7 linked regions of the Oryctolagus cuniculus genome follow. The protein of the gene in region 6 purifies or fractionates together with the protein of the main gene of each other region. This does not show direct contact. Links are inferred from orthologs where the notes say so. Each region holds a gene or a part of one and is shown on either strand. Other genes may lie near its edges. The genes, in order: ACTL6A, SMARCC2, ARID1A, BCL7C, SMARCD2, DPF2 and SMARCD3.

The links.
Region 1: the proteins of DPF2 (region 6) and ACTL6A purify together in Homo sapiens (affinity purification with mass spectrometry; 5 studies listed by BioGRID and IntAct, counting the BioPlex papers as one, with this or other methods). This does not show direct contact. The link is inferred for Oryctolagus cuniculus from reciprocal best matches to the Homo sapiens genes DPF2 and ACTL6A.
Region 2: the proteins of DPF2 (region 6) and SMARCC2 purify together in Homo sapiens (affinity purification with mass spectrometry; 8 studies listed by BioGRID and IntAct, counting the BioPlex papers as one, with this or other methods). This does not show direct contact. The link is inferred for Oryctolagus cuniculus from reciprocal best matches to the Homo sapiens genes DPF2 and SMARCC2.
Region 3: the proteins of DPF2 (region 6) and ARID1A purify together in Homo sapiens (affinity purification with mass spectrometry; 6 studies listed by BioGRID and IntAct, counting the BioPlex papers as one, with this or other methods). This does not show direct contact. The link is inferred for Oryctolagus cuniculus from reciprocal best matches to the Homo sapiens genes DPF2 and ARID1A.
Region 4: the proteins of DPF2 (region 6) and BCL7C purify together in Homo sapiens (affinity purification with mass spectrometry; 4 studies listed by BioGRID and IntAct, counting the BioPlex papers as one, with this or other methods). This does not show direct contact. The link is inferred for Oryctolagus cuniculus from reciprocal best matches to the Homo sapiens genes DPF2 and BCL7C.
Region 5: the proteins of DPF2 (region 6) and SMARCD2 purify together in Homo sapiens (affinity purification with mass spectrometry; 6 studies listed by BioGRID and IntAct, counting the BioPlex papers as one, with this or other methods). This does not show direct contact. The link is inferred for Oryctolagus cuniculus from reciprocal best matches to the Homo sapiens genes DPF2 and SMARCD2.
Region 7: the proteins of DPF2 (region 6) and SMARCD3 purify together in Homo sapiens (affinity purification with mass spectrometry; 3 studies listed by BioGRID and IntAct, counting the BioPlex papers as one, with this or other methods). This does not show direct contact. The link is inferred for Oryctolagus cuniculus from reciprocal best matches to the Homo sapiens genes DPF2 and SMARCD3.

Annotation. Positions count from the first base shown.
Region 1 is NC_091435.1:100,236,305-100,239,804, reverse strand, and holds part of ACTL6A (actin-like protein 6A), read left to right. Parts: intron 1-268; coding exon 269-369; intron 370-1,547; coding exon 1,548-1,645; intron 1,646-3,500.
Region 2 is NC_091442.1:58,981,423-58,984,922, forward strand, and holds part of SMARCC2 (SWI/SNF complex subunit SMARCC2), read right to left. Parts: intron 3,233-3,500; coding exon 3,108-3,232; intron 1-3,107. UniProt on the Homo sapiens protein: Involved in transcriptional activation and repression of select genes by chromatin remodeling (alteration of DNA-nucleosome topology).
Region 3 is NC_091438.1:144,806,946-144,811,182, forward strand, and holds the start of ARID1A (AT-rich interactive domain-containing protein 1A), read right to left. Parts: upstream 2,801-4,237; 5' UTR 2,739-2,800; coding exon 1,569-2,738; intron 1-1,568. UniProt on the Homo sapiens protein: Involved in transcriptional activation and repression of select genes by chromatin remodeling (alteration of DNA-nucleosome topology).
Region 4 is NC_091450.1:6,250,678-6,254,633, reverse strand, and holds the start of BCL7C (B-cell CLL/lymphoma 7 protein family member C), read right to left. Parts: upstream 2,801-3,956; 5' UTR 2,589-2,800; coding exon 2,497-2,588; intron 1,941-2,496; coding exon 1,862-1,940; intron 1,551-1,861; coding exon 1,442-1,550; intron 1,334-1,441; coding exon 1,172-1,333; exon of another isoform or gene 946-1,171; intron 856-945; exon of another isoform or gene 1-855. UniProt on the Homo sapiens protein: May play an anti-apoptotic role.
Region 5 is NC_091448.1:14,883,575-14,886,623, reverse strand, and holds the end of SMARCD2 (SWI/SNF-related matrix-associated actin-dependent regulator of chromatin subfamily D member 2), read right to left. Parts: intron 2,972-3,049; coding exon 2,876-2,971; intron 2,759-2,875; coding exon 2,657-2,758; intron 2,535-2,656; coding exon 2,373-2,534; intron 2,245-2,372; coding exon 2,147-2,244; intron 1,992-2,146; coding exon 1,856-1,991; intron 1,683-1,855; coding exon 1,560-1,682; intron 1,447-1,559; coding exon 1,345-1,446; intron 1,273-1,344; coding exon 1,219-1,272; 3' UTR 501-1,218; downstream 1-500. Other genes in the region: PSMC5 (26S proteasome regulatory subunit 8), read left to right, coding at 1-93, 183-269, 359-412. UniProt on the Homo sapiens protein: Involved in transcriptional activation and repression of select genes by chromatin remodeling (alteration of DNA-nucleosome topology).
Region 6 is NC_091432.1:6,292,617-6,296,592, forward strand, and holds the start of DPF2 (zinc finger protein ubi-d4), read right to left. Parts: upstream 2,801-3,976; 5' UTR 2,574-2,800; coding exon of another isoform or gene 2,542-2,573; intron 1-2,541. UniProt on the Homo sapiens protein: Plays an active role in transcriptional regulation by binding modified histones H3 and H4. Is a negative regulator of myeloid differentiation of hematopoietic progenitor cells. Might also have a role in the development and maturation of lymphoid cells.
Region 7 is NC_091438.1:22,579,621-22,583,918, forward strand, and holds the start of SMARCD3 (SWI/SNF-related matrix-associated actin-dependent regulator of chromatin subfamily D member 3), read left to right. Parts: upstream 1-1,498; 5' UTR 1,499-1,692; coding exon 1,693-1,770; intron 1,771-4,298. UniProt on the Homo sapiens protein: Involved in transcriptional activation and repression of select genes by chromatin remodeling (alteration of DNA-nucleosome topology).

The sequences.
Region 1 (3,500 bases), on a different chromosome or scaffold from region 6:
GGAGAGACCCAGAAGAAGCTACTTGCTTCGGCTTGGTCCAGCCACAGCCGATGCGGCCATCTGGGGAGTGAACTGGAAGAAGGAAGACCTCTCTGCCTCTCCTTCTGTCTCTGTAACTCTGACTTTCAAATAAATAAAAGTAAATCTTTAAAAAAGTGGATTATATTTATTAAAATATTAATTGCTAAGTCAAAGAATCACTCTCAAAAGATACTTTATTCATCTTCAGCCAAGCATTTGTTTTCAAGCTCTTGCTCTTATATTCTAGTTGAAGACTGGGATAGTTTCCAGGCTATTTTGGACCATACCTATAAAATGCATGTCAAATCAGAAGCCAGCCTGCATCCTGTTCTCATGTCAGAAGCTCCGGTGAGACAAACACTTCCGTGTTTCTTTAGTTGTTCTTTTTTCCTTTAGTTTTCAGCTCATTTGAAGAATATTTGCCTTTTTCCACAAAGAAGTTTAAAAAGTTATATTTTGAGTTTGAAAATTAGGGAAGGGGGAATTAATTTCTAACTACTATCATAACTTTTATTATTTCAGTAAAAGATTCAGAGAACTATAATACACAATAATGGGTCCTAGTAGTTATCTACATTTCCATGGATTTAAAATTTATTTTCTTGAACTGCCTCCCATTCTGGATTATGCCCCAAGGTCATTGTAAATCTGCTTTTATACTCAAGCTCCAAGAAGTCAGATGCTTAACAAGGGCCGACTGTTTCTATGAAGTCTCTTGTGAAATACATTTAGTACCTAGCCAGAAAGGGCCCAGAAGGCTAGCATAATAACCAGCATGATCAATATCTTTTTTTTTTTTTTTTGACAGGCAGAGTGGACAGTGAGAGGGAGAGACAGAGAGAAAGGTCTTCCTTTGCCGTTGGTTCACCCTCCAATGGCTGCCGCGGCTGGCGCGCTGCGGCCAGTGCATTGCACTGATCCGAAGCCAGGAGCCAGGTGCTTCTCCTGGTCTCCCATGGGGTGCAGGGCCCAAGCACTTGGGCCATCCTCCACTGCACTCCCTGGCCACAGCAGAGAGCTGGCCTGGAAGAGGGGCAACCGGGACAGAATCTGGCACCCCAACCGGGACTAGAACCCTGTGTTCCGGCACCGCAAGGCGGATGATTAGCCTATTGAGCCACAGCGCCAGCCCCATGATCAATATCTTGTTGCTGTTTCTAATTATAGTTTCTTTGGGAGCACCAACTATAAAAGGGAGAGTTTGGTGTTTTAAAATTAATATTTTATTTTGATTACCAGATATGCTCTTAAGATTTAATAATACTTTGTTTCTGAGAATCCTGATTTCCTTGTATTTTTGAAAAGCTTATACTTTCTGGAATTCATAGTAGTTTTACTAATTATAATAAATTTAATTTATATCTGATTTGTCATACTTGTTTACAACAAATGTAGATATTATAAAAGGTCATTTACTATGCTTCATTGTTTTTAAATTTTTGCTAACATAGTACTATAATGTAGCTTGAGGTAAGTCAGCATTTTAATTCTTAATAAGTAATTTGCATTTCTTTATTTTTTTTCAGTGGAATACTAGAGCAAAGAGAGAGAAATTAACAGAGTTAATGTTTGAACACTACAACATTCCTGCATTCTTCCTTTGTAAAACTGCAGTTCTGACAGCGTATCCTTGAAAGAGTAGTACTCAGCTTTTCTCTAGAAGAATATATGCTGCTGCCAAAGATACAAGACAGTCCTGGCAGAAGACGTGAGCCAATTCTCACTCATTCGGAAGTTGCTTTTTTCTCTATACCTTTCCTTTTTAGCTGTCTGACTCATATTGAAACTGATGATATACCAGAAGATGTGAGAAGAAAATAGGAAAGTGACATTCAGATCATATTTGCTTTTTTTTTTTAAAGATTTATTTATTTATTTGAAAGTCAGAGTTACACAGAGAGAGGAGAGGCAGAGAGAGAAGTCTTCCATCCAATTGTTCATTCCTCAATTGGCCGAAATGGCTGGAGCTGCCCCGATCCGAAGCCAGGAGCCAGGAGCTTCTTCCAGATCTCCCACATGGGTGCAGGGGTCCAAGGACTTGAGCCATCTTCTGCTGCTATCCCAGGCCATAGCAGAGAGCTGGATTGGAAGTAGAGTAGCCAGGTCTTGAACCGGTGCCCATATGAGATGCTGGCACTTCAGGCCAGGGCGTTAACTCGCTGTGCCACAGCGCCGGCCCTGAGATCATATTTGTCAACTTGTGTGTGTGTGTGTTTTTTTTTTAATAAAGGGAGTGTGGCTGTACAACAGTGTTTTAGCATATTAGCTAAAATGAATGCAAAGATTGCCATTTCCTCTCTCACTTCTAGTATCAAACAAAATTGGAATTTGGCTATAAATTCATTTGAGATTTAAGCACTCATCAGAAAGTTACTGCAAACACTTTAAAGATAAGGAAATATTATGTCTTGAATGCAAAGAATTTGTAATTTAAATATTCTTCTTAAAAGCTAAGTACTGTAACAGATTTAAATAGTACTTCAAAACATTGGCAAAATTCTTAAAGAAGTACTTGATTAATCTGAATTTTTTGTATAGTAATTGTGATAGTTCAGAGGAAGAATATAATAGCTTGACAGTCCTTTATAAAGATAATAGGATACAGTCATTTGAAGTAGAAGAAAGAGCTCTGCACTTAAGGATCCACTGTTTACAGAAGTGTGGTCCTGAAACATGAGACTAATGTTTTACTCATATAACCTGTATACCTCCCTGGCTTGCTATCATATTCAAGTAAGTTTTTGTATACATTTGAGAATCACTGTGTTAACAGTTATCTAACACTTTTATGTAGTGCTGTATCTCTGAGATGGCTTTAGCAAAAGTGCAAGTACTCTCTTGACTCTTCTCCCATGGGCTCCTATTCTCACCCGTGTCATCCCCAGTTTACAGTTGGATGTCCCAGGAATAGCTTAGGTGGTCCCTCCTTTATACCCCCTGCCCCAGGGTATTCTAGACATTTTACAACTTTAGTGATCTGTTTGACTAAATGAGATATCCTTCAGGGCAGACAGTTTCTGTTCACCTTTATGTGTACTCTGTGCTTAAGGAATCTGTGCAACAGACTAAATAGGCACATAATAATTATTCAATAAGTACTTGAAGAAATGAATGCCCCTGGTCCTAAACATGAGTTTAGGGTGTTCATGTGATATAGGCCTTCAGCAACACAGCTGTAGAAATGGGATCTTGTCGTATTCACTGGATATCCAATACACCTGGAGTAGCTCTTCTACCCCAGTGAGTTGGAAGAAGTGGGAATTGCCACTCAACTGCCAAACTACTGAAATGATTCCTCAGTGCTACTTAAGAATGGGTGTAGTCCCTGGCTCAAATATCACACATCCTACTCGTTCTTACCAAGTTGCTATACATTTTGTTAAAGAAATGCTTTTCGGCCGGCGCCGTGGCTCAATAGGCTAATCCTCCACCTTGCGGCGCCGGCACACCGGGTTCTAGTCCCGGTCGGGGCGCCGGAT
Region 2 (3,500 bases), on a different chromosome or scaffold from region 6:
CATATCCTACTTTCTCAACAAATTTTCTCCATTTGACTGCAAAACATAGCAACTCCCTCCAGCCCCAATCATTCCAGGGCTTGAAACACTCACTACCTTCTTCCCTTCTCCAACCAAAAATACCTGTGACTACTCTCTACACTTATATTCACAAATAATTCTTTTTTTTTTCTTGACAGGCAGAGTGGACAGTGAGAGAGAGAGACAGAGAGAAAGGTCTTCCTTTTGCCGTTGGTTCACTCTCCAATGGCCGCCGTGGCCGGTGCGCTGCAGCCGGCACACCGCGCTGATCCGATGGCAGGAGCCAGGTACTTATCCTGGTCTCCCATGGGGTGCAGGGCCCAAGGACTTGGGCCATCCTCCACTGCACTCCCTGGCCACAGCAGAGAGCTGGCCTGGAAGAGGTGCAACCGGGACAGAATCCGGCGCCCCGACTGGGACTAGAACCTGGTGTGCCGGCGCCGCAAGGCGGAGGATTAGCCTAGTGAGCTGCGGCGCCGTCCCCACAAATCATTCTTGTCTGTGACAGGCCCCTACCTCCAACTATGCGTCTGTAAGCTCGCAAAGGACTCGGTTTAATTTTCAGCAAATCACCCTCTAGGGCAAACGTAGAGGGCGTCTGGCCTATGGGCCATAGAAGTCCCGCAAAATCATTTGGTCTGGCACTACCAAGGCAACTGCAGAGAGGACTCAAAATTCAATAAACCTATAGCTGGCTAATCTCTAATAATTTGGTATGGCCTGCAAATGATTTTAGAAATATCCACATGGCCCGGCCCTTGGCCAAATAAAACTTCCCCCATCTCTGCTGTAGAGGAACAGTTATGTTCTTAAACATTTTTGAAAGCATAGGACAGGGCTGGCGCTGCGGCTCCTCCGCCTTGCAGCGCTGGCATACCGGGTTCTAGTCCCGGTCGGGGTGCTGGATTCTGTCCCAGTTGCCCCTCTTCCAGGCCAGCTCTCTGCTGTGGCCAGGGAGTGCAGTGGAGGATGGCCCAAGTGCCTGGGCCCTGCACCCCATGGGAGACCAGGAGAAGCACCTGGCTCCTGCCATCGGATCAGCGCGGTGTGCCGGCCGCAGCGCGCCGGCTGCGGCGGCCACTGGAGAGTGAACCAACGGCAAAGGAAGACCTTTCTCTCTCTGTCTCTCTCTCTCACTGTCCACTCTGTCAAAAAAAAAAAAAAAAAAAAAAGAAAGCATAGGACAGGGCTGGCGCTGTGGCACAACAGGTAAGGCCGCTGCCTACAGTGCTGGCATCCCACTTGGGCGGTTCGAGTCCTGGCTGCTCCACCTCCAATCCATCTCTCTGCTATGGCCTGGAAAAGCAGTGGAGGATGGCCCAAGTCCTTAGGCCCCTGCACCCGTGTAGGAGACCTGGAGGAGGCTTCTGGCTCTTGGCTTTGGATCAGTGCAGCTCCGGCCGTTGCGACCAATTGGGGAGTGAACCAGCAGATGAAAGACCTCTCTCTGCCTTTCCTTCTCTGTGTAACTCTGACTTTTAAATAAATAAATAAATCTTAAAAAAAAAAAAAAGCTCAGGAGAAAACAGTGAAGACCTGACTGATAAGCAGGTAGAAGCCAGAACTCCTCTCAGTGGCTGCTCCAACCCCATCCTGAAATATACTCCTGGAATACCTCAAGCTAGTCTATGGAATACAGATCATAAGCCAGTTTTGCAAAACGATGGCCTCCAAAGGAAAGTTATCATATCAGATGCAAAAATCATCCACTGGAACACAGGAGAGGCCAGAACTTCCCATTGTATTTGTTTTTATTATCCTTTACATTTTTTATTTTTTAGATGTTTTATATTTTTTATTTGAAAAGCAGAGAAACAGAGATCTCCCAATCGCTGGTTCACTCCCCAAATTCCCACAACAGCCAAGACAGGGCCAGGCCAAAGTCAAGAGCCCAGAGCCCAGTCCAGATCTCCCAACTACTCGATCCATCATCTGTTACTGCCCAGGGTATACATTAGCAGGAGGATAGAATTAAAAGGAAATTCTGGACTTGGAACCTGAACTCAGCACTCCAATACGGGATGAATCAACATTTTACCCACCATACCAAACACCCACTCCACATGTATTTTGTAATGACCCTAAGGTAGTGACTGGCTTCATAGTACCCATAAAGAGTATGTGCTCGAATCTATCTTACCAACAGGAGTGTTTAAGGAAAAAGAGTTTGGAGGAGCAGGCATCTGGTACAGTGGTTAAAGATACCACTTGGGAGGGCAGGTGCCGCGGCTCACTTAGCTAATCCTCTGCCTGCGGTGCCAGCACCCTGGGTTCTAGTCCCAGTTGGGGCACCGAATTCTGTCCTGGTTGCTCCTCTTCCAGTCCAGCTCTCTGCTGTGGCCCGGAAGGGCAGTGGAGGATGGCCCAAGTGCTTGGGCCCTGCACCCGCATGGAAGACCAGGAGGAAGCACCTGGCTCCTGGCTTCGGATCGGTGCAGCGCGCCAGCCGTAGCACCCATTTGGGGGGTGAATCAACGGCAAAGGAAGACCTTTCTCTCTGTCTCTCTGTCTCTCTCTGTCTCCTTTTTCTCCGTCTCTCTCTGTCTCTCTCATTGTCTAACTCTGCCCGTCCAAAAAAAAAAAAAAAAAAAAAAAAAAAAAGATACCACTCAGGATACTGATATCCCAGATTGGAGTGCCTGGGTTCAAGTCCCAGCCCACTTCTGATTCCAGCTCCATGCTGGTGTGTACCCTGGAAGGAAGCAGGTGATGGATGGCTCAGAGCTTGGGTGGGAGAGCACGTGGAGAGATCCCATGTGGGAGATTCTGGATTGAGTTCTGAGTTCCTTGCTTCATAACCTCGCCCAGCTGTGGCTGATGTGGGCATATGGAGGAGTGAGTCAGCATATGGAGACTCTTTCTCTATCCCTCTCTGCTTTTTAAACAAAATGAAAATAAATAAATAAAAATTTATGTTAAAAATGTGTAAAGGGGTCATAAAAAAATTTGGAGATTTGGAGATAAGTACTGTCAGGTATAAAGCAGCACAACTCAGATATGGGTATGAAGTTACAGGATTTCCCCTGGTAATGAAAATCCTATCAATAACCAGCTGTTTAAGGGAATTAGCCTGGCCCGGCCCATACCTGTTTTGGGCAGTGTCACCTCTTCTACATTGGGGACTGGTGAGGGCTCATCCATGTCCTTTGTCAGGTCTTCTTGCTCCTCCTCTCTGTGGCCACGCTTTGACTTGGTGTAAGGTGTTGAAGGGCTGGGAAAGAGAGAGTAAAAGAAAATCCAGTCATCCTCGGATGTTGAGGTTCAAGGAAGGGAAGCAAGAATCCCAAGGGTAGCGCTGCAGGGTAACAGGAAGTGGCAGAGGCTTTTCATTTGGTGATGAAGCTCTCTGAGTGAGGTGATGGCTGGGACTGGAACTGTTGGGAGCTCAGGACACCTGCGGTATATGGCACGTCCAGGTCACGGCTGGAAGATTACGGGAAGGACTTGGTCCTTCTTTCCTTCACCCTGGTGTGCAGAGA
Region 3 (4,237 bases), on a different chromosome or scaffold from region 6:
AAACAAAAAACTAGCCTTTTTGTTATTCCAGGAAGAGACAATAATTTCGCCAAAGCAAGCCTTCAGGAGAAAGTCCCTCAACATCATGAAAGACACCAGTTTCTCTTTAAGTTGCTCTCCCGAAGTCTAATTAACAAAAGAAAACTGTTAACAAGATTCAACATGTAAACAAAGAATGAGGCCAGCCTTGCTTAAAACAGAACACTTGAATCTAACATGAAATTCCCAAAGAAAGCTCCCCATTTTAAAAAGGATTACAGTGATAACCAAAAATGCCCCCTCCCCACAAAGGTCCCACATTTGCCACTCAATTAAAAAAAAACCAAACAGCAAAATAATTTCAATTCTGCAAACAGTGTCAGAATTACTCAAGATAAATGCATCTTCACAGTCATCAAAGAAGTCATTTATCCCATCAGGAAAGTCACAAAACCAAAACAAACAGCAAACCCATTGTAGAGAAGAAACTCAGCTACTGTTCGGACAACACAGAATCTATTTCAGGCTGCATAAAATATAACAAGCAAAATAAATCCAAGGTACAAGCAAAATGCCATGGCCTCCTCTTTTGTTTCAGGCACAATGTAACAAGGGCAGCCTGTCTGGGGCTCTGCTCCTGCTGATACAGTATTGCGGCTTAAACCTCCCTCCTCAAGGTCACAGCCAATTTCAGCTCTGGAATAAAAAAGGCTGATAGTGGCAGCGATGGTTTGGGTTATCACTGGCAGAAAAGCAGAGTGTAAAAGTTTATGAGCTCATCAGGATTGTTGTACCATTACATCAGAGGCAATTATAAATGGCCAAGAGCAGGAGATGGGGAGCCAATCAGATCACAGATAGGATGTCAACCTAAGACCAACTGTCTCCTGGCTTTGACAGAAGGATTTTACCTCCATAATTCAAATCCCAAACCAAAGCAATCTGCACTTACTACTCCAATCACTCAGCTGTTTACCAGCGCTTCCAGGGAGAAGCCCAGGCCACTGGGCCGGCGGAGACCAAGACAGGCGATGGCCGGGCTGCCCGGGGTGAACCGCAGCCGGCCTCTAGCTGCCCCCAAGAAGGCCCCTACCCTCCCGCGAGGTCCCCCGGGCCCGAGGGGCCCCTCCTCGAGAGCACAGACGGGGGACGGCCTAGAGACAAGCAGGGGGCACAGAGAGGAGCGGCAGGCGAGCAGGGGGACGCTCGCTCGCCTTCCGGGGCTCCTACCACCGCTTACACCCCTGATCTGAGCCCCCGGCACCCCCTCACCCCAGGCCGGGCCCTTCCCCGCACACTCTGCCCCGCACCCCCCTGAAGACCCGCGGAGTTCGCAGGGGCCAGGGGAGGGGGAGCCGGGCAGCAGACACCTCTGGAAAAGCCCCACACAAAGGCTGAAGGAGGGAAGGAGAAGAAGGCAGACAGGCAGCCATTTTAAGAGAGAAGAGCCAGACAATGGCAGCTCCCCAGCAGTGGGGGCCCGGGACCGAGCGGAGCCCACGGCTGGGGCCTGCTCCCCGCAGCCGCCACCCACCCCCCCACCGCCCGGCCCAGCTCGCCCCAGCCCCCCTCCCCGCTCAGCTGTGTACCTGAGGGGTCCGGGCGAGCGGCTGCCCCCCGCCGCCGCTGCTCCCGGGGCTCATGGGCGCGTGGTGGCTCCTTTGTTGGGCCCCTCCCGAGGCGGCCGCCGCCGCCGCCGCTGCCGCCGCCGCAGCCCCCCAGCACTGCGAGGCTATGTCCGCCGGGCCCTTGCCGGCGCCCCCGTCCTGGGGCCCGCCGCCGTAGTCGCCCCCGGGGTAGCCCTGGTAGCCCCGGGCCGAGCTGGGCGACGTGAGCAGTTGGTTGAGGGTGGGGGTGGCGGTAGGCTGGGGGGTTCCCCCGCCGGCCGCGGAGGGGCCGCCTCCCCCCATGGCCCCGAAGCGCTGCTGAGCGAAGGACGAAGACGACGAGGAGGCGGAGGCGCTGGAGGAGGGAGGCGGCTTGGAGCCGGCGGCCGCCGCCGCGCCGGAGCCCGGAGTGCCACCTCTCGGGGAGCTCAGCGCGTAGGCCTGGGGGGGCGGGGGGTAGGCGCTGCGGTTGGGGTAGTAGGAGTTGTACTGGTGGTTGGGGAAGCCGTGGTCGTGCGAGTTCTGCTGGGGCCCCGCGTAGGGCTCCAGGCCCCCGCCGCCACCGCCGCTCTGCAGCGCTGCCAGGCCAGGGCTTTGTTGTCCGCCATGTTGTTGGTGGAAGACGGCGGCCGCCGCGGCGGCGACGGCAGACGGGCTCCGGCCGTAGGGCTGCCCGAAGCCGTAGGCTGGGGGCGGCAGGGCGGCCGCGGCTGAGTGAGGAGGCGCCCCCACCCCGTCGCTGCTGCTGCCGCCGCCGCCGCCGCCGCCGCCGGGCGGCTCCGTGAGGTTATTGTTCAGGGCGGGCCTAGGGCCCGCGTTCCCGTTCGAGTTCTTCAGGTCCGGCTCCGCGCCGGGCCCGCCGCCGCTGCCGGCTCCGCCGCCGCCGCCACCCCCATTGCTCTCGGCCCCGTCCTGCAGCTCCTTTCCCAGCGGCTGCGGCGGCCCCACGGCGGGGCCCTCGCTTTCCTGCCCGGCGGCTGCCTTCATTTCCCCGCGCTCGGCTGCTGCTGCTGCCGCTGCCGCCTCGCCCCCCGCCTCCTCCCGCTGCTGCTGCTGCTGCTCGGCTTTCTTCAGCTCCGAGGGCGGCGGCGGCGGCGGCGGCGGCGGGTTGCCCAGGCTGCTGGCGGCGGCGGGGGCGACCTGCGCGGCCATGATCCCCGCTGTCTCGTCCGCGGAGAGACCCGGCCCTGTCTTCGTCGTCTCCCCCCCTCCCACCCCGCCCCGGGGCCGAGTCCCCCGGGCTGCCCTCCCCACCCGCCCGGGCGGGCCTCGCGGGGCTCCGCTGCTGCGCTGCGCTCGCTCGCTCGCTCCTCTCCCCCCCGCCCCGCCGGCTCAGGCTCCGGGCTGGCGGCGGCGGAGGAGGAGGAGGCGGCGGCGGCGGCGGCCGAGGCGCCGGCGGCTCAGCTGCTCCCGGCTCTGCAGGCTCGGGACCCGGCTCTCCCGGCTCATTCCCCCCAAGCCCTTGCCTGGGAATGAGGGGGGCGGTGGAGGCTCCGCTCCCCAGGGCCTGGCCCCGCTGTGACTCTCCGCTTTCTGCTGCCGGAGAAAGGAGGAGGGAGGGAGGGAGGGAGGCGAGGGGGAGGGGGCGGGGAGGGAGGGAGGGAGCGGGGGGAGGGGGACCCGGGACGGGCGGGCTGGAGGGCGCGCGGCAGCAGCCGGGGCGCCGGGAGGCAGAGTCGGCGCGCGCGGGCCGGGCCGGGCGCCCTGCCTCCCCTCCCCGGCCGCGGCTCCGGCCGCGGCTGCTGCGCGGCAGCGGGCGGGCGAGCAAGCGGGCGGCAGGACTGAGCGGCTAGAGCGCCCCACTCTCCTCCGAGTCCCCCTCACTCCGACACGAGGCTCAGCACTGCCATTTTACCCAGCGCCGTCGCGGCCGCCTGGCAAACCCGGAGTGGAGCGCGGAGCGGGTGCCGCCGCGGAATGGACTCGCTCCCTTCCCCTCACAAAGGAGGAGGGGAAGAGAGCGAGCCGCGGCGGCGGCAGGCCCTCGGCCGCTTTCGCTCGGCAGCACCGCCGCCGAAGGCTTCGGGGAAAACCCGGCCCGGAGCTCGCGCCCCTCCGGAGCCTGCGCCGCCTCCCTCCCGGCGTGCCGATCCCCGGCCGGTCCCCTCCCGGCCGCACCGTGGGGAGCGGGCAGCGTGAACTTTACCCGCGCCTGCAAAATTGGCCAGAGCCCGAGACCGCGGCCGCCTCGGCCCAGGCCTGACCCCCCTGGCAGCGAGCCTGGTCTCTTGGCTGTTACTTAGCACCTCCACAGCACTTTTCTTCTTGAAAGCCTTTTTACAAACCGGCCCCAAAGACTCAGCCGAGAGAGCCCTGCTTTCTAACCCCTTTGCAAGGGCCGAGCGATCATTGTTCAGACTCTGCGTTTTCCCACTCCCCTGCCCTCATTAGCTGGTCTTGACAAGTCCCCGGGGGCACGAGGTCGGGATTATCCCCATTTTACAGAATTGAAAGACCGAGAGGGGAGGACACTGCCCAGGTCATTTAACGTCGGAGGGTGGGGGGTGGGGGAGCTTTAAAAAGAAGTGGAGTCTCCAAAGCTGCCTCCTGTCTACTTAGCCTTTAAAGAAAAAAAAGTCAAATTGTGAGCAAATGCAGCAATGGGGTCAAAATATCAGAATAGATCCAAACTCCCAGCTCTGTCATCAAGC
Region 4 (3,956 bases), on a different chromosome or scaffold from region 6:
GTCAAGTGAACAGTCATTCCCTGAGCAGCCACTCTGTGCCCAGAGGTCAGACTGGGAGAAATGCACGCACGTGCGCGCGCGCACACACACACACAGGCAGCTGGACAGAGAGAAAGGGGCCCAGGACCTGGCTGAAGTCCCAGCCCCAGACTGAAGCAGGAACACTTATGCAGGATCTGCAAAGCGGTGTAGCTTTACCAAGAAAAACACACTTCAGACAAAGGGAACGCAGGGTAGTGAGCACAGGTCCTGGAGTTCAGCGGCCGCCTTCAGATCCTGGCCTTGGGCCGGCTCCTTCCGTCTCTTGGGGCCTCTCCTTAGCCATCCATAACATGGGGCCAGGGGTCGCAGTTGGTGCATGACTCTCGGGAGGAGGAGGCGAGGTAGTACAGCTCAAAGTGTTTGGCACCCAGCACGTGCGCCAGAAATGCCAGTTACTGCTTCTCTATTAGCACAGGTGTCCAGGCTCAGCCCCTAGGCCCAAGCCGTGGCTTTGGTGGCGGGCAGGGCACGGCGCACAGGGGGCCCTCAGCGTCCAGCTCAGGGGGCAGAAGGAGCCACAGCAGGAAAATGAGCCCCACCCGGCCCCCCGCTTCAGGCAGAGCTGTGCTACAGCTGCGGGGCGGCTGGAGCCAGGCTGTGGCCTGGGGAGGCCACGCTGGGCGGGGGTGAACTGGAAGAAAGAGGAGCTGAGGAGCCTCAACCTGAAGACGCTGTGTGAGCTCGGGCGACCGACTTAACCTTGCTGATCTGCCTCCTCAGCTACAAACAGGAAGCAGGGCAGGCTAACCCCTCCGAGGCGGCGAGTCAATGAGATAAAACAGAACAGAGTGTTTGGAAGGCACCTGGCACGCAGTAAGAGCTCAATCAATAGCGCCCGTGAGTAGCTTCGTCTTTTAGTCACTCGACAAACATTGATTGAGCACCTATTATGCGTCCCACTAGACTTGGAGGATGCCGTGAACAAGATCGGGGAGGGCCCGACCTCCAGGAAGCCGACACGAGACGGGGCAGGAAGACAGTATGTGAGCAGCAACTGAAATTGATAGGGAAATGCCAGAGGAGACGGCAGGGGCGGGCACTGTTTCCACGGGGCTCATGGGAGAGGGGCAGGTAGCGGGGTGAGCTGCTGGGCGCAGAGAAGGGGGCTCTGGGTGGCACCTGATCCTACCTCTCTCTTGGCCCAGCCGTGGGGGCTGAGCCTCCTCAGGGACCCCTTCCGGGGCTCCGGCGGGTGACACAGGGCGGCTGGGCTGTGGGGTGCCCCCGGGGCTGGGCTCGGTACCCTTGTGCAGGGAGCCTTCCGAGTGGAAGCTCTGGTTGCTGTTCTCATCTGCAGAAACAAGAGCCCAGAGGGTCGGCCTGAGGCCCCCAGGCCCCTCCTCCAGGTCCCACAGCCACCCCTCCCCGCCCCCGGCAATGCCTGGGCCCCCACACATACCATTGAGATCTAGCAGGATGAGCGGGCCGCCCCCTCGGGGACTGGCACCCCTGCCTCGCCGCTCTCGGCCACGGGATCGCTCTGCCCCGCCACCTGCCCGCCGCCGCTCCTGGGGGTGACAGGGATGAGGATCAGAGCCAGCGTTTCCCGGCAGCCCTGGCAGAGCCCCACGGGGACAAACGGGGAAACTGAGGCACAGAGAAACCCAAGGCCCAGCCAGAGGTGACAGAGGCTGTGCGTGCTGGGTTAGCCTTGCAGGGGGGGGGTCTGGAGCAGGAAAGGGGGAGGGGGAGGGGCAGCCGAGTAATCCTGAACATCTGGGCTGCGGTAGGCACTGGAGGTGGAGGCCAGGGTGGGGAGGAGCTGGGCTGAGACTGCACAGATGCAGGGTCTTGGGGGGTGGGGGGTGGGCTTGCTCACCTCCTCCTGGGGGTCCACCACCGGCACCCACTTGAAGATGCGAAGGGAAGTGTCGCCCACAGTCACCCAACGCTTCTCCCTGTGGGAGGGTGGGGTGCTGGGTCAGAGAGGCCTGAGGGGAGAGGCGCCCCCCCCCCCCGCGCGCACCCGCCTGACCCGCCGCCTCCGCCTCTGCCCCAGGTACCACATCTGCAAGGTGGGGGAGGTGCACGAGGGTTGGGGCGGTTTTGCGAATGAGGCACTGTTGGAGAGAGCGAGCCCAGGGCAAAGATGGGGAGGGGGCGCCCCGGGCACGCCTCGGGGCCATGGCTAGGGCAGAACCCCTCCGGAGGGAGGGGGCCATCCCTGGGGACGCAGCTCGGAGCCCGGGCCATACTTGCAGGAGTGTCAGAGCTTCAGGGGGCGGGGCACGGACGAGGGCTCCCGCCCGGCGAAGGCACGGCTGGGGACCACGCTTTGTAGACCTCCGGGGGTAGCCCGGGGAAGGGAGACGGAGCCCTGGGGATCCCGCGCACAGCTGGTGGCCGGGGGCGCACCTAACACCTGGGGGGCGCAGCTGGCGAGGGGAGGGGAGGCGCGCGAGGGGGCGGTGGTCCCCGCCAGGGTCCCGGCCCCGGCCGCGGGGCAGCGCTCACCATCGCCGGACTTTCTCGATGGTCGCCATCACCTTCTTGATGTCATCCTTGGCCCGGCTCCGGGTCTCAGCCCGTACGGTCCGGCCGGCCATGCTGGCGGCGCTGGGGCCGGGGCCGAGCCCGCGGCGGGGCTGCCTCCCGTCCGGCGGGCTCAGGCTCGGCGCCAGGCCGGGGCGCCGCTCTCGCCGCCCGCCGTCCCCTCCGGGAGTTGGCCGCGCCCTCCCTCGCTCCCCAACGCCTCCGCGAGTCCCCGCCCCGCTTCCTGCCGCCGCGCCCCGCCCCGGCCCGTCCCCGGAGCGGCCGGGCGGCGCGGGTGCCGGAGCCCAGGCCTGGAAGCCGGGCCAGCCCCGCCCCGCCCCGGGCCCGCCCCTTCGGGGGCGCCCGGACGCGCAGCGCCCCCTGTCCGCCGCCGAGAGCGAGCGAGAGTTGGGGGCCCGCTGGCTCGGCGACTTGGACGCGCGCGGCTCCGCCGAGGCGGCGCGTCCAGACCACGTGGGCGCTCGGGTGCACGAGAGGGTCTGGGTGCAGGTGTGCGAACCTGAGACACCGTGTGTGTGTCCCCGGACACCCCCTCCTCCCTCGCCGGGCTGGCTGATTCTACGCTGCCCAACTTAATTCGTTCACCCATTCATTCATTCAACGATCTAGCAGCCCAGTGCCAATTACGCGCCACAGCTGCACACATGAGTGAGTCTCCACCCCCCAGGATGGCTATAGCGAGAACGACAGGCCATACCGAGTGTGGGCGGGCCAGCGGAGCCGCGCGGCCTCCCTTCTGTTTCTGGGGGAGTGGGAATTGGTAGAGACTTTCCCATGAAGCTGAACAAAGACCAGCCCAGGAATCCAGCACGTCAGCACCCAGCAGAAATGCTTAGACAGGAGCACCAAGAGCCGTGAGCTGGGATGTTCACAGCCGCGTTCTTAACAGCCCCGAACCGTAAACGGCTTACCAAGAGGAGACTGGGAAGTGGGTTGCAGCTATTGATACCCAAGACAGAGACCCAGCGGGCAAGAATGCCCGCTGTCCCACTACACCCAGCGACGGGACAAGTCTCCCTCAGCAGATCTTGAGTTTAAGCCAGATACACCACCTGGTTCTATTTCTATGAAGTTCGAAAGCAGATAGGAAAATGTCAGGATTAGGAAGCCGGGAGGGTGTCTCTTTCGGGACTGGGAGGGGTCCCAGAGGGGCTTCTGGGAACCCATCATGTCTGTTTCCTAATGTGGCCCGGGCTCCCTGGGCAAAGTTCCTCTGAAAATTCATCAAGCTGGGCGCTGGGGATGTGTGCGTTTCTCCATCTGTGTTTTGCAGTTGACTCAGAAGTTTCCTTGCAGAAAATGATTGGTTGATTCGAAGGCTCCTTTATCAGCAGATCTGATCGTGTCTAAATCGGTGCAGCTGTGTGTGGCTGTCCTGTCTCTGACCCTGTCCAGAGGGGTTACAGGATTGGGAAGACAGC
Region 5 (3,049 bases), on a different chromosome or scaffold from region 6:
AAGATCCATTCTCGGAAAATGAACCTGACCCGGGGGATCAACCTGAGAAAAATTGCTGAGCTGATGCCAGGAGCGTCAGGGGCTGAAGTTAAGGTGATCAGAGACTCAGGGAAGGAGGGCAGGGTAGAAGTTCTGGGCCCTGGGGCCCAGTGGTAGAGCCTCAGCTCCCTTCCCCTGTTCAGGGTGTGTGCACAGAGGCCGGCATGTATGCCCTGCGGGAACGACGAGTCCATGTCACCCAGGAGGACTTCGAGATGGCAGTTGCCAAGGTAGACGCCTCTGACTTCCTGCATTTGCTATTGATGGCGCTGGAGCAGTGGGCCAGGGCCTGTGCTCATTACCGGATTCTCTCTCTCAGGTCATGCAAAAGGACAGTGAGAAGAACATGTCCATTAAGAAACTATGGAAGTGAGCCCTGCATCCTTGGTGTGGACCCCTCAAATAAAGCTCTGTAGGACAAGCCTCTCCGCTCTGTTCAAATGACCAGGTCTGGGCACCACCAATAAACAAAAGGATTTATTTGGAAATTTCCAAACCTGCCAGAAGTGGCACTTGCCAAACCCTAGGCCCACCCTCCCTACCAAGCTCCAGAGGGCAGCAGAGGGTCCTGGCGGGCCCGCCCCGCCCTCCGGCATCCTAGGAGATGATGGCGGCTGGAGCCGCTTGCATAGATTCAGGAAAGAAAGGAAGGAGGCACCAAACAGGGCTCCCTGAAAAATCCCGACATACGCCTGTACAAAATAAGTGGCTCCCACATAGAAAATCCTGCTCCCAAATAGTGCAAATACCCAAAGGAAAGGAAAAAACCAGCAACACAGCTGGGCTTCTAGGAATGACAAAGAACTTTGGTTTCAGGAGGTTAGGAAGAGTCTGGGCTGCCCCTCATCTTCCTTGCCCAGCTCCCCCAGCCAGCTCTCCCGCTCGCCTGGGGAGGGGCCTGTAAACATGCAAACCCAGCGCCTTTGGTTCCAAAACAAAGCACAGCCTCCAGGCCTGCCTGCAGGGGGCAGAGGAGACATCCTGCGAACCCAATTAAAGCCAACATGGAAAGTAAGGAATAAGGCTTTGGGAACCAAGCAACAAGGAATCCTACCACTACATTTATGAAACTAAAGTTGGGGAGTAGAGTGACAGACAGCCCTCGCCCCCCAGCCAGGCCCCGGTGGATGGTCCCCTACTAGGCTCCCGGGGGGAAGAAGGAAGCGATCCCTGAGCAGTTTAGGTCAAGCGGATTCCCAGCACCTGTTCCAGTTCCTGCCGCCGCTGCTGCACCTAGAGGAGGAGGAGACCATGCTCAGGCCCCTGCTGTTCACAGCCGAGAAGGGCAAACAGGCAGTGCCTCACCTTGGCAAAGATGTGCCTCCCCACTGCTTCCTGGGCCCAGGGCTGGTGGTAGAAAGCAGCTCGCCTCTCCTCCTCGGGATTGCCAATCACATCAGTGATGATCTGCCGAGAGCCAGGAGGAAAGCAATGACATTGGTCTGATTGCCCCTGGAACTGGGGGGTGGGGGTGGGGGGGACCATCATGGGGGCTTCCCCTTCAGGAAGGAGGACTACACCTTGAGGTCCCGGCGCTGGGAACGGAGCCACTCCTGGATGAAGTCCTGGGGGTCGGTGCTAAAGCTGAGCATGAAGTCCCTCTGGGTTTTCAGCTGGTTGATGGACTCAATGGTCTCATGGATCTGGGAAAAGGGGTGCATGTGTCAGACTGGCCCTCAGCTTTGGGGGTCTGTTCCCAGGCCTAAAGTTGAAGGGCGGCACCAGAGAGCCCATCCTGCAGGTGCTGCAGGCACAGAGGCCAACAGCTGCCTGCCTGCACCTGAGCCACACAAGCTTGTGGAGGCGGAGGGCCCACCTTGACATCAAGGGATGCGATTTCCTGCTGATTGGTGGTAGAAGCCAGAAAATTGCTCATCTGGGCTTTCAGTGGGTCGTCCACTTCCACATCTATGTCATAACAGGCCGTCTTCTTCTGGTCATTAGGGTCCACACTGAGAGCACACAAAGGGAGGGGGTGTCTGTGCTGTCCCCCTGGGCCACACCAGTCTATACACACACTTGGGGAGCAGGAAACCAACCCGTAGCGTCTGTGGCTTCAGATGAAAGCAGAGGTGAATCTGCTTCCCATCCCCCTCCTTCCAGTTACCTAATGACGTGGTTGATAACAATGGGATCTGGATGCTGCAGCAGCCCAGCCAACTTCATGGGAATCTCAGAGAAACGGAGTCGGCCACAACTGAAGATCTGGAGAGGGGGAGAGAGTCCCGAAGACTTGGTGATACCTGAGGGTTTGACGGGTTCTAGGACCACTGGGCTGCAGGGCAGCAGCCTCCGGGCAGGGGCTGAGAACAGGATGGCAGCATCCGGCTAACCTGGCGGAAGTAACGGTTGCAGTTGATGTACTCGCGCTCGTGCCCATCCTGCAGCTGGTTGTGTTTGATGTAAAGCCACAGGGCCTGCATGATGGCAGCCCTGGTCTGCGTGTGCACTCCTAGCAGCCTTGCCAGTCGGGGGTCCAATTTGTACTGGGGAGGCTGGAGAAGAGGGAGGGAGGGGGTGGTTCTTGTAACAGGGCAGGGACAAGAAGGGCTCAGAAGCGCCTGCTCCCCTCCCATGCCAGTCCCCAAGGCCCAGCCATACTCCGGGCTTCTGTCACCTGATGATCCAGCATGAGCAGGAGGGTGCACTTCACATTGAGGTCTCCAGGCCGTTTCACCTGGAAGCCATCTGTCTCCTGGGTGGTGGGCATCCGGTGCCACTGGCAGGGAGGAGGGAAGCGGCTGAGCATAAGGGGTGACCATGAATAAACTCCTGGTCCTCCAAAGGCACCGAGGCCATTTCCCTGCTGGCGTGCCAGCCCCAGGCTCCTTCTCACCTCCACCAGGTGGTTGTCAGGCCCGTACAGCTCCTTGTCCAACTCGATGACGAGGCTCTTAAAGAATGAAGAGAACTTCCTCTTCTGTTTGCTAGGCTGGGCATGGAAGAGAGCGTGAGGGCGTGCTGCTGGGTTCTCTGACAAACTATGCTAAGTGCACAAGGAGGAGCAGTT
Region 6 (3,976 bases):
CCATGGGGTGCAGGGCCCAAGCACTTGGGCCATCCTCCACTGCACTCCCGGGCCACAGCAGAGAGCTGGCCTGGAAGCGGGGCAACCGGGACAAAATCCGGCGCCCCGACCAGGACTAGAACCCGGTATGCCGGCACCGCAAGGCAGAGGATTAGCCTAGTGAGCCGCGGCGCCGGCCAATATATCCCTCTTAAAGTGAGGGCACAGGTGACTTCTCTCCCCAGTCTCCCTAATACCCATGAAAACATCTGCAACACCGTCAATCCGGACTTGGGAATAAAACGGCCTTGCCGGGCTCCAAGTCAGCACGCGAACACGGACACTTAGTCAACCTGCACGAACCCTGCATGGACCTCAGTGTCTCTTCCGCATTTTCGGGAGCTTGCACTCGCTGAGCTCTGACATCCCAGGGACCCACGAGCAGGCAACCCCGGGCGTGAGGAGCTGCACGCGCTACGTCTCCCGGGCTCATGCCCACCTCTGGCGCTACACCAACAAACCCTGCTCTGCAATCGGATGGGGGCTTTCGGTGAGCGGCACAGTGGAGCGTCCCTCATCCCCAGCAGGCAATCGCGGGACGGCATCGCCCAAGCACAGTCCGCCTGGATGCAGGCAAGGACCCTGCGCTGGAGACCTGAGCGGGGCTGGCTCCCATCGCTGGCCGTGAGGAGGCAGCCACGTCCTCCCCACGCAGAGGAAACTGGACAAACAAGGCTCAGTGCAGCGGCTGTTTCTGCTGATGCGACTGACGCTGACGCTGGGAACAGAAGGGTCCGCGGGCCGCAGGGCTCGGGGATGCGTGAGACGCTCTGTCGAGCTCTGGGGACCCTAGGGGACTTCAGAAGCGGGGCAAGCGGCAGTCTTGGGGTAACGGGGCTGGGAAGGACACCGCAGTGGGCACTGTGGGAAGCATCTGACGAGGAGAGCGAGAGATCGGTCTTAGGAACGCAAGGCCGTGTAGCAAGATATCTCACGTAAATTATCCTGCAGCTCTGGTACCTGACTCAGAGAGTTCCCAAACCACTGTTTTGCACCACCGTACTCTCACAGCGAGACCCGAGAGGGGGCGTCCACTCTGCTACCACGGTAGAGACAGAGCACTCACAAAGAGAACACCCTCTCCCCGACGAGCTGCGGGCGGCCCTGACCTTGACGGGGGCTCAGGGACTGCATCTCGGTGCAGGGGCGCGAAGCCTCCTAGGGAAGCCTGCAGCAGTCCCGGCCCCCAGAGAAGCTGGGGTCTCGCTGTCGGCACCCGGAGTCGGCGGCTGATGACCTTCACAATCCCTCCGGTTCTTCCGAGACCTGAAAAGCCAGGCTGCAGCTACGCGGCCGACCCCCTGGCTCAGACGGCGGGCGAAGCCGAGCTGCCAAGGCCAAGGGCATCCTCCCCCTCAGAACCCGGCAAGGCCGCAGCACAGGCTTCCCAGGTAGAAGCTTCAGGAACCGAGCCTAGGTGGGCCCTCCCGGGGGGGGGGGGGTCAACAAAGAGCACGGCGGGCAAACAAAGAGCCCGCGAGTCAGGAAGGCATCAGAGGGAGGGAAACGCCAGCCCAGAGCTGGGGAACCGGCGTGGGCAGATCGCAGAAACCACCGCGTCGGGCGGGGGGCTGGCTCCCAGGGGCAGCAGGACAGAGCAAGAAGCAAGTCAGGAAAAAAAAAACCAAACCACAAGCCAGGGAGAAGGCACTTAGCTTAATGGAACCGGGGAAAGCGCCGCGGGCAGGGGGAGGCGACCTGCTCGGCCACCACAAAGAGGAGACGCGGGGTCCAGAGAGCACGCCCCGCACCTGACCTTGGCGTCCAGCCAGAATCCAAAAAGCCCTAACTGGACGGCCAGACGCGTCCGCGCGGCGGCGACAAGGCCACCCCAGGCTCGCCCACGGGCACCAGCCCGCTTCCCAACGCACCGGACTCTTCCTCGGGGGGCAGGCGGCTGGCTCGTGTCACCAAGTCCCGCAGCATCCCCCAGGTCCCCGACCACCACCCAATTTAGCTCTGCCCGACCCCTGACCCGCACGACGGCTCCGGGTCGCCCGGAGGACGCCCCCCGGCCTGGCCCGCTCGGGCCCCGCTCCCCCTCAACTTCTCTCCCTTCTTCTCCGCGCTGCCTGCGTCCTGCGCACCTGCTACCCCAGCCCCGCAGGGACCGCCGAGCCTGCTGCTCCGGGCCAACGGCCGCGCGTGGCGGGGACTCGCCGGGGCCCCCCGGGGCCTGGGCTCGGCTCCTCCGGGCCGCAGCCTGAGCGCCGCACTCCGCGACCTGCAGGCCCCGCGGCGGCTCCCACACAGCCCCGCACAGCGGCCGCGGGGCAGGGGCTCCCGCGTGCCCCCCGCCCAGGGCCTCCACAAGTTTCCAAAGAGGCGCAACGTCTTCTCCGGAGTCCTCCCCCCCCCCGCGTCGCACTCCCCACCCGGAGCGGCAACCACGGCCTTCCCGGGCCCGTCCCCCCGGCCGCCTCCTCTCTTCCCGCACCGCCCCCTACTCCCAGGCCCCTCACAAGACCTCTCCGCCTGGGAGAGAAAGAAACGACCACTCACAGCTTCACTACATTCTCCACCACCGCCGCCATCTTCCCTGCTCCTCTCCCTCAGGCCGGGAGGGCCCGGAGCCCGCAGCGCGCAGGCGCCGGCGCCGCGGCGGGGCCCCGGGTGCCGCGTCCCTGTGCGCACGCGCCGTGGCTGCTCGCGAGCGCCGGTGCCCCGCCCACCGCGCCGCCGCGCGCGCGCCCTGTCTCTGCGCACGCGCCGCCTGTGCGCGCCGGGGAGCGAGGAGCTCCGGGCCTCTGGGCGGGGGGCGCCCGGCCTTCGGGTTTAGCGCAGCGAGGGAGCGCTCGGGCCGGTGCAGGACCGAGACGGCAGAGGCTGGCGGAAGCCGGGAGGCCCAGAGACGGGCTGGACGTATCCTGGCTCCTCGCCGACCTTTGTGGCTTCGGTTAACGCTTTTACCGCACGGGTGCGGTGCGGTGCGGTGCGGTGCGGTGCGGGCGGCGGGAGGTGAGAGGGGCGCGCCGCACCTCCGGCCCCCTAAGCGCGGGCAGCCTCGGTGCTAGCTGGCGGCCGGGTCTCTCCTCCACCCGGCTGAATGGCGACTCGGGCCCCAGCGGAGCCCTGGAATCAGCTCCCGACGGAGTCGCCCAGGGTCGACCCCAGCAGACTGAGAGACCTGCTCTGTGTCCTGGTGGGCTTCTTGATCGGTCCCTGCTTTTCCAGACCCTGCCCCGGCCGCCTCCCGCGCTCAGGCGCCCCCGGCCCAGCGCCCCAGGCTTCGTCCTTGCCCCTCGCAGCGCCAGTTCCAAGATGCGCCTGGGGCCTGCCCCCACGTGTTAGCATTTCCGAGTGAGGCCGTGTCTTCCGTCCCTGCGATTCAGGACGGTGCCTGCCTGGTCGGAGTCGAGAGGAACTGGCCGTTGCTTACCCTGCACCGCACCTGAGTTTGAGTGGTGTCGCAGTGTGGAAGGGAAGCCGGCACGATCCTGTTACCCAGAGGACTGCGGGGCCCCGGGGGTCAGAGCTCCCCATGCTAACCTCCTGCACCCTAGGAGGTTAGAAGAGCTCGCTTGGGTCCCTGCCACCCACAGGGCAGATCTGGCCTGGGTCCTGGGCTGCTGCTTGCCAGCCCGGGCTGTGGCCGGCACCCGGGACGTGAACCAGCGATGGAAGATCTCTGTCTCTCTGTCCTCCCCCTCTCCGCCTTTCAAGTAAAATTGAATGCATAGTTTGCGAAAGTTCGCCAGCACTAAGCATCCGAGTGCACCTGCCCTATGATCCAGCAAGCCCCTCCCTCTATGAGAACGAGGGATTACCACATCACGAACGAATCTCCAGCACTTAATATCGATCCAGAGAGGCCAGATGCACGAGAACACACTGTACGGGCTCATTTACGTCAAGTTACACAACAGACTCATTATCGCGAGAGGGCAGGAGAGGGGACAGGAGCTGGCACTGGGGGGCGAGGACTGTTATACATCCC
Region 7 (4,298 bases), on a different chromosome or scaffold from region 6:
TGAAGCCCTGGTAGGAAGGGGGAATTTCTGGGTCCCCCCCACCAGGCCAGAGGTAGAGCCTGAAGCAGAGACCCTCTCTGCCTTTCAGTAGACAGTGGGAACCTACATGGGCGCTCACAGCCCCGCACGCAGTCGGGGCCCAAGGGAAACCAGGCTGCAGGCAGAGTCTGGGCAGAGCTGTCCCGCGTTCTTTGTCCTGAACTCCCCAAGGCAGGAGGGCCAGGACCCGCAGGGCAATGCTGGGTCTTCAGGGCCCAACTTCAAGTAGGTGTCCCGTTGCCCCGCCCTCACCTGTGTTGACACCGCAGCCCCAGCAGGCCCTTAAACTTGACCCTCTGTCGTCCCAAAGCCCACGGGCCCCTCCTCCGGGAGGAGGAGATAGGGGCGTGGCCTTGGGGCATGGGCGGGGCCAGGGCGCCCAGTCTGGGGATCTCAGGATTCGCCCCTCCTCTTTCCTGTCTCTCCTCCACCCCAGGGACTGCCAGCTCCCTGCACACCGCCCCTTCGGGGGCTCGCTCTCACCCCACCCTGCGCCCCGGCTTCCTCTGGGATGCTGAGGCGGGCCCGACCCCTCCGGGGTCCGCACCCCTAGGCCCTCAAGCCCCGCTTGTCTCCTGCTTCCCAGACGCCCCCACCGAAGCCCCCAGCCCGGCCCTGCGCCGCCTCGCCCCGCGTTTCCCCCTCGCTGCGCTCTCTGAGCCCCGTCCCCGTCCCTCCTTCCGAAATACTTGCCCTCCTGCCCTCACTTTCTCACACAGAGGCAAACAAAGACCCACATACCCAGAAATAGCCTCGCGCGGAGCGGAGCGCGGCGCAGGCCGCGTCCCGGCCCCACGCACGCGCGCAGGCCTGGCGGCTCCCGCGCAGCGAGGCCCCCGGGCGAGGCGTCCGTCCGTGCGCCCTCGTCAACACCCGCAGCCGCCGCGCCGGGCCGCAGGGTGCGGACGCCGGCCGCCAGACAAGGGCACAACACACACACACACACACACACACACACAGCCGTGCGCGCAGGGAGCGCCTCCTCCCCGGCACACCCGGCGCGGCCGGCCTCGGCTCCCCCCCGGATTCCTGCCCGCGAATGTTTCCCTACTTGGCCTGCCAGGTCTCTGGGGAAAGGGCCTCAGAAATGCAGCCGGAGCCTCTCGGGGAGGGAAGAAAGTTGGAACTGACTGTTCCCTGCCTGGCCCTGCCGGCGAATTCCCTAACCGAGCAGCTATTTGTGGCGAGAGCCCGGGTGGCCGGCGAGCCCCCCGCCAGCTCCCCGCGCGGCCCTCGGGCGGCTCCGGGCTGCAAGCGCCGCTACCCTGCGCCCAGGCGGGGCCGGGCTCGCCGCGCACCTCGCCGCTTATCTGCGCTGTTTGGACAGCGCGGGCTGCAAAGGCCGGCGTCCCCGTCCCCGCCGAGTCAACAGGCAGACCCCGGGCCGCCGGACTATTTCTGTCTTATCAGTGCAGGAATGCGGCAGCCGCGGCGGCGGCGGCGGCAGCGGCGGCGGGCGGGCGGCGGCGGCGGCGGCGTGGGCCGTGGGCCGTCAGGGCAGCCCTGAAGGGGCCCCCTCCCCACTCCGCTCGAGTAGAAGTGTGAGAGAGCCCAGCAGGACTCAGAGGGGAGAGTTGGAGGAAAAAAAAGGCAGAAAAGGGAAAGAAAGAGGAAGAGAGAGAGAGAGTGAGAGGCGCCGCTGAGCCCACCCCGATGGCCGCGGACGAAGTTGCCGGAGGGGCGCGCAAAGCCACGAAAAGCAAACTTTTTGAGTTTCTGGTCCATGGGGTGGTGAGTGGGGGAAAGTTAGCGGGGGAGGGTGAGCGAGCTGGCTCGGGCTGAATGGAGGGATGGCCGGGAGGGGCCGGGAGGGCGCTCCCGCGCGCCCACCCCTCCGGCGGGGGCGCCGCGGCCACAGCCCAGCGCCGGGACCGTGCCGGCGCCCTGGCGTGCCAACACGTCGTCAGGCGGCGGGCCGGGGATGGGCGCGCGCGGCGGGGAAGGCAGGCGACTGCGCGGGCTCTTGTCAGGGGCGGGCGTGGGACTGGGGGACTCCCCCCACCCAGGTGGGGGTCCCCTTCTGTGGCCGACATGTTGTCTGGGTTCCCCAGCGGGCCCAGGTGTTACCCCTTCCCCGGGGGTGGGGGCGGGGGACGGGGACGCGGCGCAGCCCTGTTGGGTTGTCTGTTCACATCCGTTGGGACGGTGTCACTCTGTTTCCAGAGCGTGGAGCAGGTGACCCTGGAGGCACTGTGGGCGCGAAAGCCCTCTGGCTGAGCAACCTCTGTATCCTGGCAGGAGGGCACTGGGGCATTTTCGGCGTAGCCCCTGCCATCAGGGTCAGGGAGAGGCTCCCTCTAGGGACAGACTCCAGGTGGAAGGAGTCCGAGCGTCCCCTTGGCAGACGCCTGTCCTTAATATCTCCAAGGTGTGAAGAAAGGGCCGGAGTCGGGGACGTGAGGCCTAGGGATCCCAGGGACAGGGCAGCCCCAGAGGCACGTGGGAAGCCCCAGGCAGCCTCAGCAACCCGAGGCAGGGCACGGAAGAGGCCTGAGCTGGGTGGCTCGGGGGCCACGCTGGGTGTGGAGACGCGAGAGGGGACGACGTCAGGTTCACTGCGGCCACATTTGGCCGTGACCCCCCAGGAGGGCACCTTCTTGGTGAGGGAGGCCAGAGTCCCTGAATCTTGGCCTGTTGTGGGGGTGGTGCTGGTGGCTGGCACAGCTCCCTGGGGGCCCTGGAAGCCTCCCAGCAGAGCAGGCAGTATCCCTGGCCTTGACAGAGAGGGAGCCCAGCTGATAAAGCCAAGGGGGTTCCTGGGTCAGCCTGGCCTCCAGCGCTGGGCATCTCTGGGGTCGACTTTCCAGGGCCTGCATGTCCACCAGCTGCATCACCGGTCCTAGCCTTGCTGCTGCGGGGAGTTCCTTTGAAAAGGCCCAGCTAGCAGGGAGAGAGGCTCGACATGGGTCTCTCTCTCTCTCTCTCTCTCTCTCTATATATATATATATATGGCCAACTTAATGCTTCAGTTCTTAGGTGGCTCGGCGCCCCACCATCCCCACTCCCAGTGCCCCATCTAGGCTGGCGGAGAATGGTCACCAGCTAGCTCCATTCTGGGTTGCCACCCTGGAAGCATGAGTGACAGGGTCAGGTGGGGTGGGGGGAGGCAGACACATGGTCGGGCAGGTTTCACTGCTGGAAAGATGGACAGAGACAGCTGCTGGCTGGGAGTGGGAGGGCTTTAGGGGCAAAGTCAGGGGCAGCATCGGGGCGTCTCCTTGGGCCTAGGGTGAGATAATGGAGTGGATAAATGACAACAGGGGCCCCTTGCTCCCCAAGATTCCTGCTTTTCCCAGTCCCCATCCCACCCACTCCCCTGCTGCTACACAAGCCCCTGAAACCCTCATATCCCTCCTGAACTCTGGACAAGTGGCAGTAGCACTTCACTCATTTGCATCTCATTTACACCCCATCCAACCACCTAGGGGCACATGACCCACCTCATCTCCCTCTCCACCACCCTCTTTGAAACCTGGCTTCACTGGGGTGGGGGTGAGCAGTGGAGGAAGCCTGCTGGGTGTGAAGCCTTGGCTGATGGCTGATGGGTGCGGGTGGACACGCTGCTTCCTTTGACCTGGCCCAGGCCCCCTGGTAGCTCACCTCCAGCCCAGCTCCCCCTCCTCCCAATCAGAATCCTGGCAGGCTGTGACGTCAGCCCCTCAGGTGCCTTTGCCCTTGCTCTGCCTTCAGCCTTCACCCGGGGAGCAAATCTTGGGGTCCAGCTTAGTTGCTGAAGCCTCTGGGTGTGGAGTCAGCTGGAGGGGATGGAGTTTGGGATGCAGAGGTCCAAAAGCAGGGCGTGGAGAGAGGAGGGGGCAGCTGAGGAGGAGCCGGTGCAAGGCAGAACAGCTGGAGGAGTGGAGACCAAGAGGGAGGGAGCCGTAAGGAAAGTCAGAGCAGGGAGCTCAGCCCCTAACTTCAACGAAGCCGCAAACGGCAAAACGCTGCGGCCCTCAGGAACCCGGAGCCCTTCAGGTGTTGTCCTAGCCAAGATGAGCTGCGTGACCTTGGCGAGGTCGCCGTTCTCCTTGAGCCACAGTTGCCTCGTCTGTCAAGTGGGAATGAGAGGACCTGTTCACTGAGTCTGGCAGAGGCGCGTGAGGGTGTGAACCTCCTTTGGAAGGTGGAAAGGCGCCATTGCCAGTTACTGTGCGTTTTTGCGGTACCTTCCGCAGCTCCAGGCTCGGCAATGCCCTGGACAATTGCCTGGCTTCAGTTAGCTTCCTGCAGCGACACGCCAAGCCCCCTCCGCCGAAGCC